Linked DNA regions of Arabidopsis thaliana. The protein of the gene in region 2 interacts with the protein of the main gene of each other region in a pairwise test. Each region holds a gene or a part of one and is shown on either strand. Other genes may lie near its edges.

Region 1 (5,190 bases), on a different chromosome or scaffold from region 2:
CGTACCTAGGAAGCTCATATCTAGCACCTGCATTGAATAAGAGCAAGTCATTAAGGTAACAAAACAAGAAACGAGAGAAACGAATCAGAATTGTGTATTACAAACCTCTTTCATCCCAGCACAATGTTAGGTCACGGTTCTGAACAATCACGCCTGCACTGTCAACAATAGTTTGTGCTAGTTTCAAGTCAGCTTCAGCAGCAGCTCGAAGTGCTTCCCATATCTCTGGTTTTCAGTAAATTTCGCTCAGTTTCCAAATGTACATAGTGCGATGCAGCAGATTACAAGAAAGAGAGATATATATATACCTCTTTGACCACCATAGTGTGGAGAGGTGTCCCAAAATTCCTCACGCATGTTCGTAAGTTGTGCCCTTGTGATTGGCTCAGTATGTGCCCACGGTTTAGGTTTCATGATTTTCTTCCTTTTTGCTGTGTCAAACGTACAAAACTCATAAGAGAATGATACAATATAAACTACCACCAATTTTAAAACAGTTCTTTCAGTAACACCAATATTATAGCCATCTACTTCAGAAGATCATCACAGTTTCAATTTCATCAAGACAACAAATACAGTATAAGGCAGAACGAATCAGATTATATTGTCTATTGTTCACAGAACAATTTTTCTTGGTAAAAATGGAATGTTATAACATTAGTAAACGGCCATTTCATTTCAATCATACCATCGATAACAACTTTCTCTGATCCAACATTCTAATTCTGAGCAGTAGAAACAATGTTGAAGAGCATTCTAATTCTCTGCTGAACTAATTCTGAGCTTCAAAATTTGGAATCTTTAACGAATCACAAACATGTCAACACCACAATAAACTGATATTTCCTTCGAAATCACTCCAAGAATCATAACATTTGCAAGATTAGTTCATGTTAACACCTCAAAACTAGAACTATCACCAAGAATCAAAACATTACAACACAAGTATAAATCGTAGCCCAAATTCTGAGAACAAATTCAGCGAGACAAACGGAGTGCGGAATTAAAGGTTTAAGAGAGTATCGATTCCACTAACCTCCGCCTTCATTTCTGGCCTGAGAAGATCCGATACAACCCATTCTCGAACCGTTGAGAGTCGCGTTTGATTAGGTGAAAATTGGAAGTCGCTTCGAACAAGTAAAGTAAATGCCAGTACAAACTCGACCGTCGGGAACGAAACGGAGAAAGATAGCCGCCGATAAGAGTTTCACGGCGGGAGAATCGCCGGAGAAGTCTGCAAGAGTCGTCTTCAAGGTCAAATTCTGTTTTGACTGCCAAATTAGGCCATGAATGTTTTGTTGATTTTGGTGGGTTTTTGGATTTTGGATTGTGGCTTTTGGTTTTTTGTTTTTGATTTTATGAGTTTTTGATTTTGGTGGAGATTTTAGATTTTGCAAAATCTTAAATGGTAACTTTTCTAGTTTTTGATTTTTATATAATTATTATTTAGAAACGTTTTAAAATTATTTATTTAAAACTTTATTTTTATTTTTAAAAACAAAAAAAAAAGAGTTTACGATAGAATTTGTTGAAAATCCCAAAAAAGTGAATTTTGGATTTTAAGAACAAATGACTAGAATCTTTTAAATTTTGAATTCCCTATAATTTAGGAAATTAACTTTTTACAAAATCATGAATGGATGAAAAAGTGGATTTTGTAAAATCAAAAGCCAAAATCAACTTTAAAAACTAGTACCATTCAAGGCCTTAGTTTGTTAGAGAGAAGAAAGTGAAAACAGATCTCCCCGATTTTATTTATAGTCACTTTACTTGCCACGTCATATTATTCTGGATTAGTATATTATATCTGTTTGAATTAATCGTCAGCGTCTGTAGTCCAACGGTTAGGATAATTGCCTTCCAAGCAATAGACCCGGGTTCGACTCCCGGCAGACGCATTCTTTTTTATCATTTTAATCAGTTTAGAAAAACATAAAAGATAAAGACAAATGTGAATTGACGAATACGTCCTCGTCTTTATCGAAGCGAGCAAGGTAATAGATCAGAACGCGTTAACAGGGCAGTTTAGTAAATTTGGCCACACAAATGTTAGATTTCTTTGTGATAAAGACAGTACACAAGTCCTTTGTCTTTCTCGTTTGATATTTTCCAATTCCGCGTCTTTCTCTGTTGAAATCGAAAAAATTTTCAAAACAAAATCTAAGGAAAAAAGAGCAACAAGTTTCAAATCTCATTTGGGTTTTTCATTTTGAAAAGAAGGACCCATTTTTATCTCTCTCTTTGTTTTGTTTTCTCGAATCTGAAGGAGTAAAGTTAAAAGCTTTGAAGGAGAGAATCAATGGCGGGTTACAGAGCAGATGATGAATACGATTACCTATTCAAGGTTGTTCTGATAGGTGATTCAGGTGTGGGCAAATCCAATTTGCTTTCACGATTCACGAAGAACGAGTTTAGTCTCGAGTCAAAATCCACGATCGGGGTCGAGTTCGCGACTCGGAGTTTGAATGTTGATGATAAAGTCATCAAAGCTCAGATTTGGGATACTGCTGGTCAAGAAAGGTCTCATCTTTTTCAACCACATTGTTCATTTCTCGATCTGGTTTCTTATATTAGAACATTTTGATTGAAGTTTTGGGGTTTATGGTTTTGTTTGGTTGCCAAAGACAGTAAATTTTCAGCTTAGGTTAGATCTGTATCAATTGATTTAGATCCATTGGTATTGATCACTTTTATAAGAAGAGATCTGGATTAGTATGTGATTTTGACAACTTGGGTTTTGTGTAAGATAGGAGAATCCTATGATTATGATTATAAAGTTATCAGCTTTATCAAATTTCTTCTGTTGTTTTTGCTATTTTAGGTTTATGTGAGAGAGCTTGATTGGTTTCAGTAACTTCATTTCTACGATTCTTAGCTCTTCTTTCTCAGATTTCACCTAAGATTCTTCAATCATTATCGATTTCTTCTGTTGTTTTTGCTTAGTTTATTTATGTAAGAGAGCTTGATTGGTTTTAGTTGGATTCTTAAACTTTCATTTGAAGCTTTTACTTGGTCTTAATTTCAAAATTGAAAAGCTTCTTGCTTTGTATGATTTGCTATTCTCCATTTCTCTGATCAGTTTTGTAAAGCGTGCATAGTCTGAATTCGAAACTGTAAAGCTTCTTGCCTTTTTTGTGTTCCTGATGTTTCGGTTAACTTAATTCTCTGTTTCGTTGACTTTGTTTCAATAGGTACCGAGCCATCACTAGTGCGTATTACCGAGGAGCTGTTGGAGCGCTTCTTGTCTACGATGTAACCCGACACTCAACATTTGAAAACGTTGAGACTTGGCTGAAAGAACTCAGAAACCACACTGATCCAAACATTGTAGTCATGCTCGTGGGCAACAAATCTGACCTTCGCCATCTCGTGGCTGTTCAGACTGAAGATGCTAAGTCATTCGCCGAGAAAGAATCTCTCTACTTCATGGAAACCTCGGCTCTCGAAGCCACCAATGTTGAGAACGCTTTCGCCGAAGTCCTCACTCAGATTCACCACATTGTGAGCAAGAAGGCGATGGAAGCTGCGAGCGAATCCGCTAATGTTCCATCGAAAGGAGACAAGATCGATATCGGTAAAGATGTTTCAGCTGTGAAGAAAGGTGGATGCTGCTCGAACTAATCAGAGAGTAGAATTATTGTTAACAACCTAAGGATCGGTTTTTGTTAACGGTTCTATCGAATATGAAGATTGCTTTTAGGTTGAGTAATGCCCATTTGGTGTATTTCTGTTATTTATCTGATCTATCAATGTTATTGTTTGAAAATGCTATGTCAAATTTTCAGAACCCTAAATTATATTTATCTCAAACAATAGAATTGTTGAAAAGAAAAGATAAAAATAGTTTCTGCCTTTGATGATTTCAGTTTGGTTGAACATAATTTTCGGTTTGATTTCGTTTCACCGTATCGGTTCATTTTGGTTAAGTGGTACTAAAATCGATTTCTGTTAGGTTGGAATTTTGTTGTTTCGATTTTTTTGGTACAAAACCGAAGGATTACCAAAATATCCGGTTTAGTTTTGGTTTGTTTCGGTTAGCCTTTTTTAGCTCAATTTAGAGCTTGAAACTGAGCAATCGCCGGAGAAACTCTCACTCACAGTTATGGCTACGGCAATGGAAGAGCCAAGGAAGCTGAGAGGCCACAAATCAACTGCCACTTGTTGTATAGCTTCTCGTGACCGGCCTGGAATTGTTCTCACTTCCGGCGAGGTTTCTTAATCTCTAATTCAAACCTCTTTTTTCCGATGAATTTAGGTTTCGTTATTGTAGTTACTTCGCAAGATTCATAGTTTTCCGATCATACGATTATAGGATGGTTGCATTTGCTGGTTTGATTTGCGATGTAAAGATGTTCAATTCATCATCGATGTTGGAACAGAACCAGTTTCATCTCTTTGTTTCAAGACAGGTTTTGTCTCTTTGTGTTTTGTCTGTTTCTCTCTCTTTCAATTTCTTCTCTTTGTTGCAATTTGGTGATAACTTTTATTTGATTTTTCAGGTAATGAGAACATTCTCTATGCTTCTTGTGGAAACGAAATCAAGTCTTTCGATGTTCATACGGTAATTTAAAATGTTCAAACTTTGATTAACTAACTATAACCATATCCTTCACTTAGTTTTAAAGCTTCTCTCTTTATGCAATTTCATAGCTAAGTGCTACTTCTTGGAAGCCATTAGAGAGTTACAATTACAACAAAGATGAAGTTAACCAGGTAGAGATACTAAAAACTCGACTTTTCGAAAAAGTTATCATATTTACCTATGACATTGATGTTGACATCTTTTGATTTGTTAAAGGTAGTATGTAACGGAAGGTCGTCTTTTCTTGCTTCTGCAGATGATTCCGGCGATGTTAAGGTACACTCAATAGTTGTTCTTAATACTTAAAACTCTTAAAGATTACATAAACATGAATTTTGGTGGGACGGTTCTCGGTTTGATTAGTTTGCTTGTACACAGATCATCGACCTTGGTCAGAAATGCCTTTATAAAACCCTTAGAGCTGGTCACACAAGTGTATCCTTACTTCGTTTTTTTTACCCATTCTCGTCTATGAAACTCTACTAGCCTCGAAAAAATGTCTCAAATCAACACCTTAATGAGACATATAAGATATGTAGTTCTGTACAATTCATTCCATGGAGACCTTGGGAAGGTAACTAATATCTTATTGTGATTTGTTATTATAT
Region 2 (6,862 bases):
CGATCCATAACACGACGACGTATCTCGAAGAGATAGCAAAAGGAAACGGGCAAACCGAGTTCGAGATTTTAATCTTGAAAGGCTTAGAACTCATCCATGTCGGGAAAGGGATCTTACGTTGTAAATTACTTGTCACAGATCATGTCGTGGTAATAAAATTTACTTAATCCAACGAATCTAGTTTTAAGCTTCCTTTTTTGTGTTTTTGATTGGTGAACGTTATTATTACTAAACAATGCGAAAGATGATTCTCAGGGAGAAGATGGAAGTTGGAATGCGGGAGTGATTACGGCGGTGATGGACTCGATCGGAGCGTCAGCTGTGTACTCCTCCGGCGGCGGACTCCATATCTCTGTTGATCTCAACTCTTCGTTTTATTCAACGGCCAAGATTCACGTTCGCTTTCCCTATCCTCATTTTTCTCTCGTTTTTTTTGTTATGAAACATGCAAACTACTAAATTAGGTAAATTACTATTATTAGTAATGATTAGAAGTAATAATGATAAGAAAAAACTACAAAATTGCAGGAAACGGTAGAGATAGAAGCAAGAGTGAATGGAAGCAATGGAGGATTAAAATCAGCTGTGATTGAGATTAGAAGAGAAACAAGTGGAGAAATTATAGCCACAGGAAGATTGTGGATGGCTCCACTTAGCGTCAAAGCCATACAAAATGTTTCTACTCTTAGTAAGCTTTGATTTTTTCTTAATTTAAGTGATTCAATTTCCCAAAGTCAAAAACACCACAAATCACCATTTTGAAAATTTGATTCTCTTCAATCAAATATCATACACACAATGTTTTTTTTTTTTTTGTAATAATTAAATAAACACACGACCCATTAATTAACATCAACCTCTACATCCTAAGAAAATCCAAATCCATGATATAATAATCTAATTACATACAAATATATAGAATTTTATAACACACGTACACCATTTAATTATGATCAACCAATTGGTCTTAGTTTAATTTAATAACTTCCTCTTCTTCTTTTCTCATACCATTAACCTTATCATTCCTCACCTGATCCACCGTAGGACCATAGGACCAGCTACACACAACGTAGTAGATGACATTAACGAAGCTCAAGATCGCTAAAACCCAATAGTAATAGTCATAGTGACCCTTGTTGATGTTATCTTCAATCCAGCTCACATTGCCCTGCTTTGAGCTATTCTTTACCGCATTTAGGATCACACTAGCCAAGATATTAGCCACTGCCATTCCTAGACCGAACAACGAAGCTGCGATACTCGACATGCTTTTAGGAAACTCGGTATAGAAAAACTCGGTCTGTCCTATCCCGGTCAAGGCCTCTGCTAAACCGTGTAGTACATACTGTGGTACAAGCCACATTGCTGAGATGCTCACTGTTGAGTTGGCATCGTTTGCGAGTCCTTGGCTTATCGCGGTTTTCCTTCTGTAATGTTCAACAGTTGCGGAAACCGCCATTGCTAAGAATGATATGAATAGCCCTAATCCCATTCGAATCTTGACATTGACTCTAACTGGTCTGCCTCGGATCTTTGAAGCTAAAGGGAGAATTGCGCGGTCGTACAGAACAACCCATGAGATTAAGGCTATGATTGTGAACATACCAAACGATCCAGCTGGGATTTGGAAGGTCGAATTGCTGCTTAAACGTCTGTCCATTGATTTAGCTTGAAGCAACTGAAAAGAGTTCTGGCTAACGTTTATCGACATCATTATCCCCGTGGACCATACCGGTATCACCTTGACCAACGCCTTGAGTTTCTCAACTTGGTCCGTTGTGCATAGCCTCCACTGGTTTAAGGCCAAACCATCAGAACCAAGGTCTTCATCGCGGTTACTTATGGCACAAGCTTTGTTTAAAAACCTAAGCAATTGCAAGAAAGTATCAATAAATAAAAAAACTAACCAAGAACTATATATGTGAAACTGATTTCACTTTACCTCAATTTGTCACTTGGAGCTTTGAGTTCAGAATCTTTCAAACGGTAATAACAATCTCTGGAGTCATGATGATCCGGCAAAGTTAAGTTTCTCTTCACGTAAGCTGCAGCAACCACTTGAGCTAAACCAGTGAACAGACTCTTGCTCACATCGCGCTTAACGTAGAGAGGAGACGCGAAAACAAACAAGAAACCCGCGAGCAGCATGAGAATCGCGGGTATTCCAAACCCGATTTTCCATCCTAGATGATCTTGAATGTAAACAATGACGGTGAAAGCGATCAAGACAGCAACTGATGAAGAAGCGTAGTACCAACCAAAGAAACTCTCAAGAACTCTCTCGTTCTTAGGATTCTCTTTGTTGTCCAATTGATCAGCACCAAAGGCTAAAGAACATGGCCTGATTCCTCCTGATCCAATCGATATTAATGCGAATGCGGTATACAAGAGAGCCAATTGAGAAGATGTCGCGGAACTGCAGTTGGTTCCGGCTGTTGCTACACACGGTGATGGTTTTACTTGCGGCAACATCGCCGTTAGCCATAGAACCACCATCCCCTGTAACATTTTTGATTCAGACAAATTTATTAAAACAATGTAGTAGGTTAGATTTTGACGTTTTTGTTTTTCATAATAAAAATGTAGTTATCACTTCATTCGTAAAATCTGTAGATGTCTTCCAAAAAAAGTACTTCCAAGAACAAGAATCCAAGTATTAGATCAGAATCTACACGTACGTCAATTGTCACATCCATCATACGAAAACATTATTTTCTTACGGAAAATGATTGATACTCGAGATGAATGATTGATGTAGAGATTTCAAAATCAATTGATGTCACTATGTATATGATAAGTTTTTTTTTCCAAGTGGGTGAAATAATAAGTTTGATCAAGAATGGGACAAGTAGTACAAAAACATGGGTCACCAATCGATATTGCTTTCATGTCTAACACTTATATGTTGGCCAAAAAACTAATGTCAAATCCTTAAATGGTGGCAAAATGTAGGTCCACGTCAGCTTGACCCATATATTTGGACATATAAATAATGAAACTCTAAGTCTACATACAACAAAAAGTAATAACAAAATGATATTTTTTATACATAGAGAGATGCAAGCAGTGTGGTCACTCACAATCACACAAGTTGCCAGAGAAAGCCCACAAGACCATAACCACAAGGAAAGCAACAAACAAGATTTTAAGGAATTAATAATGATATTAAATACTTTATGATTATTTAAGACCTGTTATTATATAAACTCACATGGACATTTCAGAACACCTGGCTTCGAATTTAATTTTACCGACTTTTATATTTTTGATGGACACAAATATTAAAAACAAATCAAAGCGGGTTTAGTTTCTCCATTCATTGGACAGCAATTTCAGGGAAGCACATGCAACATGTGAAAATTTTGACTCTTAATGGAAAAAGGCTTCTAAAAAGCTTAATCATATCAACTCTTAAATTAGAAATTTCACTGTAGATGATTATCATTAGATATTATAGTACTTAAAGCAGAAATATACAGCTATCAATGATTTAGCAAAACCAACGGTAAAAAGTTATAAAATTTTAGTAAAAACCCCTGAAATTTACCATACCAATCTTTTTTTTACTATTTCGAGAATATAAAATAATTAAATAATTACATACAAAACCTCGTACCATTTAATTCTTGGCCCTTAATTCTATGACTTGGTTAGATTTTATGGAATTCTCTTTTTGTTGTCGACGCAAGTAAAGTCAAGTCCAATTATCGAAAACTATCAAACCGGAATTTAACTCCAATTATCAATGCATGTAAGTAAGGTCCAATTGTCTAAAGCCAAGTAATAAAACACTGAATACAAGCACGATATTTCACCCAAATCAACTTAAACCGAAACTTTCGGTTTAGATTCCCAATTTTAATAAAACTCAACCTTTACTGACAGTAAACATAAACAAAGCATTTCCAAACCAAAGGCTAACTAGGTGGTGAAAAATGTTGAGTCAAAGAAGTGGCTAAAAAATTGAACCGGAGTAAACCGGGAGAAAGAAGAAGCGTAAACCGGTTAAATAGGGGACGGAAATTACCAGGAGACTGGAGAGAGAAGCAATGACAATGGTGAGAAAGCGACCCAAATATGAATCTGAGAGAAAAGCTCCAACGAGAGGCATGAAATTAGTAGCAGCAACCCACATGAACAAGACAGTTTGTCCTTTAACAAGTCCCAATCTGTAATCACTCATCAGATAAAGAATCATGTTCTGTAATAATCCATAGCTCGCCACTTTCTCGAACCCCTCGTTTGCTTCACCGAGTAACAAACAAGATGAGATAAAATTAGTAACAAGATTTGGGTTTTTGTCTAAAAAAGTGAGAGAGATCGTTTGTTACCAATGATGAAGGGCATAGTGAGAAGACCACCCTTTGTTCTTCTTCTTGTAATGGGTTGTTGAAGAGTCTCCTTTGACTCTGTTTGATCCGGAGGGTTCTCCATTGTTGTTACCTTTCAAGCTTCGAGAGAGGGGAAGAGAGAAAAGTGAAAAAGAGAAGAGAAGGAGGAGAAGATCTTTGTCTTTGTGAGAGTTTTGAGTTAATGCGATCTTATTTTTCAGTTCAGACAGCGAGGAATCTCTGTTTTCTGCGACGAGTGAGCAATAATAAATGGCTGTTATTTAAATACTACATTTTCTTTTTCCCTCAAGGCAAATTGTTTTTTAATTTTTTAATTTTATTAATTAATTTATCATAATGATTTTTATAGAGTGAGGTTTTATCCTATATGGCACACGACAATTTTCATTCTTAGTTAGAACTTAGAAATGATTTGTTAGTAGTATGAAAGAAAAAAAGTTAGATAAAACGTCATTTTCCTAATCTTAGCTAAATACAAGTTGAAACATAAATGCCAGAAATATTCGTTTTTTTGTGAAGAAAATATCTAAAATGGAGAAGATTAACTTACATAGATATTTCAAAAAGAAGAGAAAAGAAAAAAACAGTACATTGTACATCAAACTTCCAATGTTCCATCATCCATGTTACTTACGTCAAACATAAAATGGTCTGGTGTTATTGACTTATTTTTGAAATAAATCCAATTTATTATTATTTATGTACATTTCAAATTAGTTAAATATGTTAATGTTATATACTTCGAAACCATAACTATTCTATAGATTTTTTGATGAAATAGTTGTTGGAAGTGAATTTGCAATGTAGAAGAATCAATCACAAGAATTTCAATATTGTATTATCTTCTAAAGATGTCTTCTAATCAGACTTAAACTCTTAAAAAGTTTATGAGAGCTTCAACTATATCATTATACTGTAACTAAACATGTAAATGGCTTTCCACAAATCACATCCAATTATCGAAAGGAACGGATCAAAAATCATAACAAAAGTTTACTAATAATTGAGAATGGAAAACATCCCATGAGGTTAACAGCTTTTGTTTTGGCTCTCTCTCTTCCTCTTTTCTTGACAAATTGAAACTTTTTGTTATTCAATTCTTTTTTTTCAGTTTAAAGTTAAAAAATGGATTCATTAAAGTAAGTGCAATCATATATAAAGTTTTTTTTAATTCGCTTTCTCCTTATCACACTAATAAGTCAACATCTCAAAGAGTCGGCCCAAAGAATATAATAAAATAATAGCATACGAAAGTTTACCAAACCCATGTAACAATTGACCTCATGAATAATAGTTTATGTTTTAACAAAAATATGAATAATAGTATATGTTTAACTGTATAATTTTCTATGTATCTAAGAAGTTTCGGACTTTACGATGTATAGTAACTTCGACCAAGAGATTAAATTAGTAGTTTTCCCTGCTAATGTCGACTTTAAGACGAACCCCATCTTATAAAGTTACTCGTATCTAATCGGTTAAACTATCCATTCCAAATTAACAATTATATTTTCTTATGTGACTTAATCCAAATAATGAATGCAAAGAAAACTAACATTCATTATTCACAAAACATTATATATTGCTAAACAATATCATACTGTTAGATTCTGAGGATATAAACTACTGTATCAAAATACTTATCACTAATTTGTGATTCTATATCCTACAGGCTATATATCATTATACGCTAAGTAATTACGTTTCCAAGTTAAATGATACAAGTATTTGAAAGTTTCTGCCTAAACCAGATTATAAGTAAAGTACTTATGTTCAGTACAAAATTAAAAATGGTGCAACCAGATTTGAATGAAAAAGTTCGTACAAAATTAAGTGCGGTGTCTGATGATGGCAGAAGACTCGCTAGTAGGAACCAAAAATGAAATTTCATTATCCAAAAATTTATTTGTGGTCTTTCATGCATCCACATGAACAGTTTCAATACCAAATACCTAATTTAGTTTTTAAAAAAAATCGTAATTAATCAATACATCAAGAATTCAACATTAGATTATCCTGCTATTAAAAAAATCTCTTAAAATAATTTCTTAGAACATTAGAATAATTTAAAAACAAAAAGTGAATAAAAAGCCATAATGATGAGAGTGACATGGTCATTTGCCTTGCACGTGGGTGTTTGGATACTCTGCAATCTCCTTTTTGACAAACTTGTTAATCCACACTACTCATTATGTCATTTCATTTTTAATTTGTGATCATCATAACTACTTAGCCTCGTCGTAACAACTTAACCCAAGAAAATCAGAGTTAGATCCAAATAAAAGTGATGGGACACTTTAAAGAAACGAAACAAAAAAAAAAACACTGTGGATAAAGCAAAAAGCAAATGGTAACATAAATTGTTTTTACTATATACATTTCGGCGTTTGTGAAATAATACAGTCGAAAGAAATGGTCTCTAGGTTAACACTATGCATAGAATTTGGTGAGAAACATTACAGAATATATTTCATTTAAATTCGGTGTTCGATAATGTTGTGAAAGAGTGA
Region 3 (4,831 bases), on a different chromosome or scaffold from region 2:
ATTTTGCAACACCTTTTAACTGAAACAAGCAAACAAACACACCATTGGTTGATTGATTGTTGCAGCTATGGGGATTTGTGTATGGCTCAAAGTATGATGAGATTCTAGCTCACAGCAAAACAATGGAGCCTGGTCTTTGCAGATGGTCATGATCATTATAAAGAAAACCCAAATGAATTCAACTGAGATTCGTCTTTTTGTTGTTGTTGTTGTTGTTGTTGTATAAATCTGTAGTAAAAGAAATCTTGTTGTCTTGTAACTTGGCTAAAATCACATATATGTTACTCTCTCTCACTTGTAATGATGATTTTGAAATAACAAAATAAAACCACCTATTAGGCTCATTCGGCCCATTAAGGCCCATTAAAGCATATGTGTGTGTGAAGAGGGATTAATTTTAGTGGGGAAGAATCAAAGAAGAAAAACCCTTGCTACTGCTTTTCATTTCTGACCTAAAAGCTCAGCTCCGATTTGAAAATGGGGAGTAGATTGGGAGGACGAGTGGTTCATTTCGCGAATCTTCCGATTAAGCTTCTGATGCCTGCGAAGCTGACCAACATTCACGAATTCGCGTTGAAAACGATTCCTTCCGCGTCCAAGATCGAGATCAAGCGAGTCCTGGAGTCGCTCTACGGATTCGATGTGGAGAAGGTGAATACTTTAAACATGGATGGGAAGAAGAAGAAGCGTGGTGGTTTGTTGATAGCGAAAGCTGATTACAAGAAGGCTTACGTCACGCTACGTAGTCCATTGTCGATTTCTAGGGATTTGTTTCCGGTGAAGTATATCGAGGAAGATAGGAAGAGTAAAGTGAAAGGATCTAGCTTTGTTGAGGAAGAAGATGATAAGAAGAGTCATTGGCTTGATCGTAAGGAGAAGAGGGAGATTGGTGGTTATGGTAAAGGTAAAGGTCGTCGAGGTGGTGAAAGGGCTAACTCTCCGACGAGAGGTGGTGCTGCGGCGGCGGGGACGGCCAAGTTTCCATGGAGCAACATGAGATTTGTTGGTAAGTAGGGTTTATGAGCAGATTATGATCTGGGGTTTGTGTTTCTTTAGCTATCGGATTATTGATTTTGTTGTTTCTATTACTTGAGGTTTGTGTATTGAGAATCTGAATCATTGAAGCTCTCAGTGTTTCTGAGATTTGGCTAATAAATCTGAATCAAGATGTTTCCAATTGTTTGTAATCTTTCTCTTAGTGATCTCTGATTAGCTATATGATATTTGCTGCTCCCGAGTTCTAAAGCTTTTTTTCTTAATTGCAATCTATAAGAATGCTTAAGGGGATTAACTCTGGTGATGGTGCTTTGTTTGTCTGTTCAAGTTTTGAGAAACCTCTTATTAGTCTTATTGTTTGTGGATTTGGGGCTTATGTTCAAATGTTCGATCACATTACGCAGATGCAAAACGTATGATAAAATTGTGACAAATCACTACATTAGCCAATAAATATAGTCATCTCTGATCATCCCAAAAATCTCATCACTTTGTGGACTAGTAGCTTGGTGTTTACTAAATAATTGTTAAAATAATTGTTAGTTCAGATTTTGGTATTCATTACAGATTACAACTAGGCTACTACTCACCTAGTATCTTCACAAACTAACAAAAATTTGTTTGGCTTAAAGGTCTTTTTTTGGTTTAGGTTTTAATTAATCAAATAACGATTTAAAAGATTAATGAAGAAGACTTTGATCATAGAAATTTTAGAAAACATTCATCATTAAAAAATATTATTTTTTTTAAACACAGATACACCCAACCGCATCGACGCGCTTCTTATATAAAGTCTCCGCGGAAATCGTTGAATATATTTGGGCGCGTGGCGATTTTGTGAAGGTTGTCAAGTTTGTGTGCGACCGAGTCATCGTCGTCGTGCTCTCCTTCTTCTTCATCGTCGAGACCTAAGAAAGACGAGACTCTGATTCTTCTGATCTTTGAATCACACTTTTTCTTTTTTTCCTTCTTCTTCCAACGGAACGGAACATATGGCTTCGGTTTCACCTTTGGCAAAGTTTAAACTGGTGTTCTTAGGAGACCAATCTGTCGGAAAAACCAGCATCATCACTCGTTTCATGTATGACAAATTCGACACCACGTACCAGGTATTTACACAGATTCCTTTCACTTGTTTTGTTTATTCATTTAAATTCTTCTCTGCGACAACAAGTTTCTTTTGTTTTCGTTTTTTTATTGTTTGATCTGATTCATTATTTCCTATATTACGATTGTTCAGACGATTTCATCTCATATTGGTCCTAGATTACGTCGCTGATATCACTCTGGTTTTTCTTCAATGCATTTGTTTGATCACTCTGCTCTCTGTTTTTTTGGTTGATTTATCAATCTCTTCTTCTTATTATGATCAAGATCGATGATGCTAAGCACTGTTGCTTCTTTGCTTTCTTAGTTAGTCATTAAGCCTTTATTTGTGTTCTCTCTGACTCTCTGCAGCCTACCATTGGAATCGATTTTCTATCGAAAACAATGTACCTCGAAGATCGAACAGTTCGTTTGCAGCTATGGTGAGAACAATGTTACTTTTGCTCTTTACCTAAAAACTAACATGTTAATTTCAAAAGCAATAACAAAACAAGTTTTGATTGAAAGGGATACTGCTGGACAAGAAAGATTCAGGAGTCTAATCCCAAGTTACATCAGAGATTCTTCTGTTGCCATTGTTGTATACGATGTATCCAGTAAGTCCACCTTTGTTTCTCTCTTTGATTCACCTTCTTTTTTGTGTTCTTATGTGTTCAATCAATACTTTGTGTTGCAGATAGGCAAACGTTTCTGAATACCTCGAAATGGATTGAGGATGTTCACAGAGAAAGAGGTCAAAGCAATGTTATCATCGTTCTTGTTGGAAACAAAACTGATCTTGTTGAAAAACGGTAAATACAAACATTAAGCAAAGAATTGGATGGGATGGACTATATAATTCTCTCTTGTCTTATATATGTCAATCTTGATATAATGAAAAACAGGCAAGTATCAATCAGTGAAGGAGAAGACAAGGGTAAAGAGTATGGAGTGATGTTCATTGAGACCAGTGCCAAAGAAAACTTCAACATTAAGGTATGACAAAACTTCAACAAAGAGTATGGAGTGATGTTCATTTGAGTGTTTCTTGTTGTCTGATTTCTAAACACACCAAATCTCTTCAATTTGCAGGCTTTGTTCCGGAAGATTGCTGCAGCTTTACCCGGGGTAGACTCATATTCATTGGCAACAAAATCAGATGACATGGTTGATGTGAATCTAAAGACCACTTCAAATTCATCACAAGGTGAGCAACAAGGAGGAGCAGGTGGTGGTGGAGGCTGTTCTTGTTGATTCAAAAATACATAATTCCAAAACTTGTGAAGCAAACAAAAGGGATCACGTTAGTTTTGTGGTTTTCATCTTATTAACTGACACAGAATATAAAACATCAAAGAGAAAAGGATTACTATTTTTACACATGTGAATCTTTTGCCTTGTTCTGTATTTGATCTGTTTTAGACATTGACGGTAGCAGAATACAAAACCTTATTCTGATCACCACCAAATGAACCAAAGGGAGAAGGATCAACTGTGGTGACAGCTTCCTTCCACTCAATTGTACCCCAAATCTCACCTTTCGAACGAAATCTCGGCACACCAAACATCCAATCTCTCATCATCATCATTACGCTCAAGCCAGAAGAGAACAATGTTCACACCAAAACTGTTCACTTGACTGATATTCTTAGAGCCTCCAAACCTTTAACTATCTTCCATTCTGATTCCTCAGACTCTTGCCAAAACACTCACCGGAAGCTCATATCGGTACCGTATAACAACAATTCCTCAACTACACAATAACTCAAAAGATGTGGCCTATTCGTTCTTCCCCATTTACCATCACTGGGAGAGTAATAAACACTTCCTTCAAACCATTTCACTCCGTAAACCTTGTCTTCCTTAACAAGGCTTCCATTGGCGTTTGTTTTGGCCACTACGATTATCGGCGGGAAGGTTTTGTTGTTTCTTCTCTTCTTGGAAAACGAAAAACGTTATCCTTTATTTGTTCTTCTCTTGTTTTACTTTTTTATTGAGCCTTCAAACATTCGTTAGTGTTATCAACTCAATGAAACTTGTAACACAACAAGTTGATTAGTGAATTAGTTTGTGCTTACTCATCTCAGACATTAACATATAATACTTGTTAAATACTTTTGAAGATTCGTATTATCTTTGTATATATTTGTATACTAAAGAGAATAGTAACGATAATCACGATGCTAAGCACTCTTGATTCTACTTTTTTAACCTCTTGTTTGGTTACACGTTAATTAGGCATTTGCAAGAGCAAGTGTTATTTTATCAACATTTTGAAACTTGGAACAAAAGACAAGTTTGGGGAAGAGATTCTAAACAGCGAGACAACGAAGGAGAGAAAAGGCCAAAAGAGATGCTACAGTTTACATGTGATTGAAGCTGTTGTTGTTGTTGTCTCCGTTTTGCTTCACTCTCAGTGTCAGGTAGATCAATATCAATGTTCCCACACTTGATCTGCAATCCAAGACTTTTTAAAGTTAATACTGAATGCATCGTTAGTATAGATTTATACGAATTAAGTACGTAGAGGAAGGATAGTTACAAGATGGAGAATAGGATGACGATTTTCCTTGAATCAAATGAAGCGGCACGCTTGTATCTTCTCCACCTGTTTGTTGGTGCATCGTGGCATCGTTCGGAGAGAGCTTTATCTGCAACAGAAATTTTCTTAAGATTCAGTGCATAAACACAACAGACAAATCTTAAAATTATGCAACTTCAGTGAAATTATATCGTTATCTTACCAGTG
Region 4 (6,143 bases), on a different chromosome or scaffold from region 2:
TTACTGGAATCACATCAAATTGCTGATGACGTCTCTCATTTGTTGATTTTCATGAATGAAAAAGGTTTTAGGTGAGGCTTATCAGGTTCTAAGCAATCCGGATAAGCGAGCAGCTTATGACAAATATGGCAAAGAAGGGGTCCAACAGTATGTTTTGTCCTCTCTGTTTACAACTTTGCATCTCCAACTTCGGTTTGTGATTGATTTTTCATTTGCAGGGATGCAATGGTTGATCCTGCAGCTGTATTTGGTATGCTTTTCGGAAGCGAAGTCTTTGAAGAATACGTTGGCCAGCTTGCACTTGCTTATTTGGCATCTATCGAAGCTGACTTAGAATCACATGACCCTGAAATCAGAAAGCAAATGCTTCAAGACAAGATCAAAGTACATTGTTTATTTATCGTTCTATTTTAACACATGTCGATGTTTTTTAGCTACTTTTCTCCATATATTAACGTGGGATTTGTGTGCAGGCTCTTCAAAAGGAGAGGGAAGACAAGCTCGCCGCTACATTGAAAAACAAACTTGAACCCTTTGTGGAAAGACAAACAGATGAATTTATCGAATGGGCAAACGAAGAGGCAAAGCGGCTTTCTTCTGCCGGTAAGTTTTGCATTTAAGCTATAGAGGAAAGTCTTTCAATGTATATATATAAACTAGAAAGATTTACATCTTCTTGCTCTGGATGTTTAAGGTTTTGGCGAGGCAATGATGCATACTATTGGTTACATTTACACAAGAAAAGCTGCTAAAGAAATCGGGAAAGACAAGCGATATATGAAAGTACCATTCTTAGCTGAATGGGTGCGTGACAAAGGCCACCATATGAAATCTCAAGTGATGGCTGCTTCTGGTATGAAACAAAGCTAAATATAAACCAAAATGTTTTGGTTTTCTAACTTAAACAAAATCCTTACTAATTGCTTTGGATGATTTTGTTTTGGATCTGTAGGTGCGGTTTCGTTACTTCAGTTGCAGGATGAAGTAAACAAGTTGAATGAACACCAAGGAGAGAACAAAGAGGAACATATTCAGAAAGCTATTGAAGCTAAAATGGATGCTTTGCTTCAATCTCTTTGGCAAATCAATGTTCTCGACATCGAATCCACGCTATCTCGTGTTTGCCAATCTGTAAGATACTATGCTTCATCATACATTATATGACCATTTCTTTTGTAGCAACAATCGACGAATTAATCTTGTTGTTAATTATATATGTATCTTTCTCTCACAGGTGCTTAAAGATCCAAGTGTTTCGAAGGATGTTCTTCGAGCTCGTGCCATAGGACTGAAGAAACTTGGAACGATCTTCCAGGTGAGCAAGAAGAACAAAAGGGTTCGTATCATAACATAAAAGAAACACTCATTGTGTTTAGATTTAAGATGTCGAGAGCCAAAAAAAAAACTTTTTGAAAAAAACATGTAACTCAAAACCTTAGTGAATTTCTCTGTTCTTTTTCTTTGAAGGGTGCTAAGAAGCCGTACACGAGAGGAAGCAGCTTGCGTCGGGAAGCCACCACCGTGAAAATGGACACCGGAGGTTCTTCAAAGGCGACGTCTTGAAACTCCGGAACTTAAAATGCTGTTTCTTTTATTGGTTGAAGTTGGATTTGTCCTTCGTTTTTTACTTTCCCCAGTTTTGTAGAGATTGCTTTCTATGTTAACTTTTTTTTCGTGTAGATGTTACATTTAAGGTGGTGCATTACTGCATTCTCATTAAAATCTTTTCGTCACATTATTCAAATTTCTTATACATTCAGAGCTAGTGATGAAATGATCTAAGGAACAAAATTTACAATTTACTTTCGGTAAAGAAAAAATAATAGTGAATAGTAATATTGTATGTATTTGGGCGTGTTTGAATCGCGTTTTTATTCCCTTTCCATCTTTCCGCGTTGTGATCGTTTTAACATGACGTGCCATCGTTAGCCTAATTCCGCTAAAACTAACGACAACAGACCAAAACAAGTTAAAATGCAGTGTTTGGTTCTATTAAACCGAATACTAATCAAACCGGTCTGCTGACACTCGACATTTCATTTGGTACGGTTTATGGGTCCTCAACCTAAACCACACGCCAATCGGAACGGTTTATGGGTCTTTAACCGGTACAAGCCAATGGGAGTCTAACGGCGTTAAACAAAACCGGTCAGAGAAGACTTTTATTCGTCTCTTTCCTTCACAAGGAAAAAAAAAGAGAGAGAGAACGAAGCAAAAAACCTCGCTCGCTAGCTATGTGAAGAAACTATCTTCGTTATAAAACTTTCCGGCGACGTTTTCCGACTTCCGAGAGCAGGTTCGGTGTTCATCACTTGTCCTCTCACATGCTTAATTCTTTTCGATTTTGTTATTTAGTTTTTTTTTTAGTTTCTATTTTGGGTAATCTCGACTTGGTTTGCAAGTCCCTTGGCCATAATATCGGATCTGTTTAATGTTAGTTATGTAGATATTGCCCGATTCAATTTCTATTTTTAGTGCCTTTGAGAAGATTTTTCATTTTGGATTTTCTTAGTGAAGAATAGTCATCACAGTTCACTCACCTACATGTTAGTCAGCAATGGATTACTGGATTTGATTCTCTCTTTATTTTCATTCTACTTTGAACTTCATTTATCTTGGCCATGGCCAGTTTAAGTTATTGTGTAGATTAATGGTAAGCTCTTTTTTTTAGTGTTATTGTTGAGGTTATAGTCATAATTGATTCTGATTGAGTTCTTAAAATTGTGTTTTTTTTTGTTGGAAGGTTTTGAGGTGGTTTTATGCGCCAAAACATCTAACCGGAGTGTCGTTGTACGGTGCTTAGTAGTTTTCAATAACACGCTTCAGTTATGGGGAATGCTTGTTGTGTTGCTACTCGAGACAAAATGGTTGTGCCTAATACATCAGCAGTCGAGAATTTTCAAAGAAACAATGTGAGGTATTCTCCTAACTGGAGCTTCCGATGGGATAATAGAGGAGGACGCGTGGCAGGGGAAGAGACCTCTGTTAGTTTGTTATCTGATCGGATTAGTCGTAACGATGTCTCTGATGTCAAATCTGAAACTGCTCTTGTATCATCACAAGGTTCTCCTTTGGACAATTTTCAGACGCAGTCATGGCAGAAATCTCCTGCTTCTGGTAAATTCCTTTATTGCTGCTTACAGGCAATACCTCTTTGATTTGTCAAAAAATGTAGACTTGATGGGAAAATGTAGGCACCTTCTTTTTGACCAACCCGCTTAGAATTTAGGATTACTTTTCTACAGAGACTGTTAATGAGTGAAAATGACATTGATATGTTTGTTGACATAAACTGTTCTCTTGTTTGTTTCTTGACTTGCTTTTATTGTTAAACTATGACTTTTCCATGTTGTGATATCACGTTATTGTTGTGGCAGATCAATCATTTTCAAGAATTGCCTCTATTGACTCTGTCTCTGAACAGGTAAATACTTAAAAGCTTTGTTTCACTGCTAGCTATATATTTGTTATGTATCTCTGTTAATATGACTCCTATGTTACTGTTTTAGATCACCCAAAAAACAAATGATTCAACCGACCCTACTTATTATCCATCTCCTGCAAAACTGTCTCTTTCATTGGCTTCTCAACCATCATCCTTCTCAGTGTCACCACTGTCAAGTCAGTCCCACTTGCCAATGCCACCTGCAAGTTCATCCCAATTAAAGCTGACACCGCCCCCTCGTCTATCAAAGCAAGTCTCATATGGTCAAATCTTTGGATTCACCTCACCGAGCAGAAGCTCAGCAACTGAAGAGAGGCTGGGGAATGAATCTCAGTCTGATGGTTGGTCCATGCAAGCTTTTTCTGAAATGATGGCGTATTCTCGCAGAGAGTCTTGCTCTTACGATAACGAGTGCTTTGGGCTTCGTCGTGACAAGATAGACAATCTTGGAAGTAGAAAGTCCAATGATCAGCAAAACTGTGGTGCTTGCTCGAGATCCTTGTCTGAGAAATCTTTGTTGAGTAGCCAAAAAATCTTTGCCACTAACGAGCTCTCCGTAGCTGCGATTCTAGCATGTGGGCACGTCTATCATTCAGAGTGTTTAGAGCAGATGACACCTGAAATCGACAAATTCGATCCTTCTTGTCCCATCTGCACACTGGGTGAGAAGAAAACATTCAAACTGTCGGAAAAAGCATTAAAGGCAGATTTGGAAATGAAAGCTAGACACAACAAGAGACTAAGAAACCGCGTTGTGGACAGCGATGAATTTGTCAAGTTTAATAACAACCACGAAGCGGCAGTAGGATACAAAGGTAAAACCCCAAAGCTGATATCAAGTTCAAGCTTGAGAAGCTATTCCCCAAAGCCTTTCCTTGCTAGACACTTCTCTTTCGGGTCCAGAAGTAATAGTGTTAAATCCCCAAAAGAGATTCATTCCCCGAGCTCTCTTAGAAAGAAAGGCTTCTTTTGGACCAAATCTAGCAAAATTTGAAACTGTAAGCTCCTCTCTCTCTCATGAATCTGAACTCAAAATAACGAGTCACTCTATAATTGTTGAATCATGTTTCAGAATCTGGATGCTGTGTCTCTTCTTAGTTCGTAAGCTAGGGCCGAAGTCAACGTAACGTTTTACTTATCAAAGGTACACACTTGTTTGTGTATGTATTACAGAAAAGTTTCTCACTAGTCTCCCATTATTTTTTTGTTTGTGCATTCCCAATTACACTTGTAAATATATAATTATAACAATATAAGGTAAAAATGATCTGGCTGTGCACCAGTAGGTGTGAATTGGGTTAATCAGATCGAGGGATTTATATTTATATGTTTTGGTTTATTTGGTGTGGGATCGTATTATACGATTTTTATATACTTCTACAAACCATTTCTAAACAAATGTTTCAGTTCAAAACCAATCTAAACAGATTTGTATTATGATCCAACGTTAACTTCCATGGTTCGTTTGTTTAGTGCTTTATGAAATTAGTTACCAACACAAACTTGCACTTACCAATCAGAATACGTCAAGAATTTAAAACTCGGAACACCGACCTTCTTTAGCGGTTCTAAGCCCTGATCAAATCCACATGTGTCCATGGAACATAGAAAGCACCGTACTTAAAAGATAACGTTATCTACCGAATCTATCAAAAAAGGCAAAACGTTATTACTATGTCGGATTCGTGACGTACACATTTCAAAGTACACACATGACACATGGAACTCTAATTCTATCCGTGCGTGGCAAACATTTCACATTAAATACGCCACGTATCATATCCATGCAGATTAACATGTCTAATATATATGCATGCCTACTTGAATCAATCCCAAACCAAGTTTTCTTCAAAGCTGTATTTGAAAGGGTATATATCTCACACACAAAACAGATCAGAAGCTAAAAGGTAATAATATAATGGCGGATTTGAGGGACGAAAAAGGTAATCCGATCCATCTAACTGACACACAGGGAAACCCAATTGTCGACCTGACTGATGAGCACGGTAACCCCATGTACCTAACCGGTGTTGTTAGCTCCACTCCTCAGCATAAGGAGAGTACTACCAGCGACATTGCAGAGCACCCTACTAGCACCGTTGGAGAAACACATCCGGCAGCTGCTCCAGCTGGTGCTGGTGCTGCCACCGCTGCCACTGCGACAGGAGTCTCTGCTGGTACTGGAGCAACCACCACAGGGCAGCAACACCATGGGTCGCTTGAAGAGCATCTTCGTCGGTCTGGAAGTTCATCTAGCTCTAGCTCGGTGAGATTCTTTTCTTTTCAAATAAAAAACTAGATATAAGTTGTAGTAGTTAACACTTTCCCGCACTCTCATATTTACAACTATATAGATACAATGAAAATGAAATTTCATATTTGTTGTTGATACTCTAAAAACAAATTATCGCAAGGTATCAAACTTGAAAGAAAAAAAAGAAATCCAAAACCAGTCATATGATAGGCGCCTTTTCTATAAAACCGTTTTATGTATTTGGATTGATCTTTTAACGATATATATGCATATGATGTTGAAATAGGAGGATGATGGGCAAGGAGGGAGGAGGAAGAAGAGCATAAAGGAGAAAATTAAAGAGAAGTTCGGTAGCGGCAAACACAAGGACGAACAAACACCAGCGACCGCCACAACAACAGGACCTGCCACTACCGACCAACCTCACGAGAAGAAGGGCATTCT

The links.
Region 1: the proteins of AT3G16180 (region 2) and RABA1c interact in a protein complementation assay, tested with the Arabidopsis thaliana proteins (one large-scale study listed by BioGRID).
Region 3: the proteins of AT3G16180 (region 2) and RABH1c interact in a protein complementation assay, tested with the Arabidopsis thaliana proteins (one large-scale study listed by BioGRID).
Region 4: the proteins of AT3G16180 (region 2) and AT2G21500 interact in a protein complementation assay, tested with the Arabidopsis thaliana proteins (one large-scale study listed by BioGRID).

Annotation. Positions count from the first base shown.
Region 1 is NC_003076.8:18,557,019-18,562,208, forward strand, and holds RABA1c (RAB GTPase homolog A1C), read left to right. Parts: upstream 1-2,041; 5' UTR 2,042-2,299; coding exon 2,300-2,520; intron 2,521-3,191; coding exon 3,192-3,621; 3' UTR 3,622-3,927; downstream 3,928-5,190. Other genes in the region: AT5G45740 (Ubiquitin domain-containing protein), read right to left, coding at 1-27, 106-225, 309-431, 1,037-1,079; AT5G45760 (Transducin/WD40 repeat-like superfamily protein), read left to right, coding at 4,103-4,210, 4,313-4,409, 4,500-4,561, 4,651-4,713, 4,799-4,858, 4,961-5,017, 5,114-5,156. UniProt on the Arabidopsis thaliana protein: Intracellular vesicle trafficking and protein transport.
Region 2 is NC_003074.8:5,480,510-5,487,371, forward strand, and holds AT3G16180 (Major facilitator superfamily protein), read right to left. Parts: upstream 4,679-6,862; 5' UTR 4,435-4,678; coding exon 4,332-4,434; intron 4,246-4,331; coding exon 4,028-4,245; intron 4,022-4,027; exon of another isoform or gene 2,508-4,021; intron 2,500-2,507; coding exon 1,943-2,499; intron 1,866-1,942; coding exon 968-1,865; 3' UTR 816-967; downstream 1-815. Other genes in the region: AT3G16175 (Thioesterase superfamily protein), read left to right, coding at 1-149, 256-396, 529-699. UniProt on the Arabidopsis thaliana protein: Low-affinity nitrate transporter involved in xylem-to-phloem transfer for redistributing nitrate into developing leaves. Not involved in dipeptides transport.
Region 3 is NC_003075.7:18,504,124-18,508,954, forward strand, and holds RABH1c (RAB GTPase homolog H1C), read left to right. Parts: upstream 1-1,795; 5' UTR 1,796-1,988; coding exon 1,989-2,105; intron 2,106-2,454; coding exon 2,455-2,525; intron 2,526-2,610; coding exon 2,611-2,699; intron 2,700-2,779; coding exon 2,780-2,894; intron 2,895-2,987; coding exon 2,988-3,078; intron 3,079-3,174; coding exon 3,175-3,336; 3' UTR 3,337-3,580; downstream 3,581-4,831. Other genes in the region: AT4G39870 (TLD-domain containing nucleolar protein), read left to right, coding at 66-152; AT4G39880 (Ribosomal protein L23/L15e family protein), read left to right, coding at 478-1,014; AT4G39900 (adenine deaminase), read right to left, coding at 4,446-4,536, 4,625-4,733, 4,827-4,831. UniProt on the Arabidopsis thaliana protein: Protein transport. Regulator of membrane traffic from the Golgi apparatus towards the endoplasmic reticulum (ER).
Region 4 is NC_003071.7:9,206,261-9,212,403, reverse strand, and holds AT2G21500 (RING/U-box superfamily protein), read left to right. Parts: upstream 1-2,172; 5' UTR 2,173-2,296; intron 2,297-2,743; 5' UTR 2,744-2,828; coding exon 2,829-3,117; intron 3,118-3,377; coding exon 3,378-3,424; intron 3,425-3,509; coding exon 3,510-4,439; 3' UTR 4,440-4,972; downstream 4,973-6,143. Other genes in the region: AT2G21510 (DNAJ heat shock N-terminal domain-containing protein), read left to right, coding at 65-147, 219-384, 474-603, 695-853, 953-1,131, 1,235-1,336, 1,468-1,563; dehydrin LEA, read left to right, coding at 5,364-5,711, 5,986-6,143.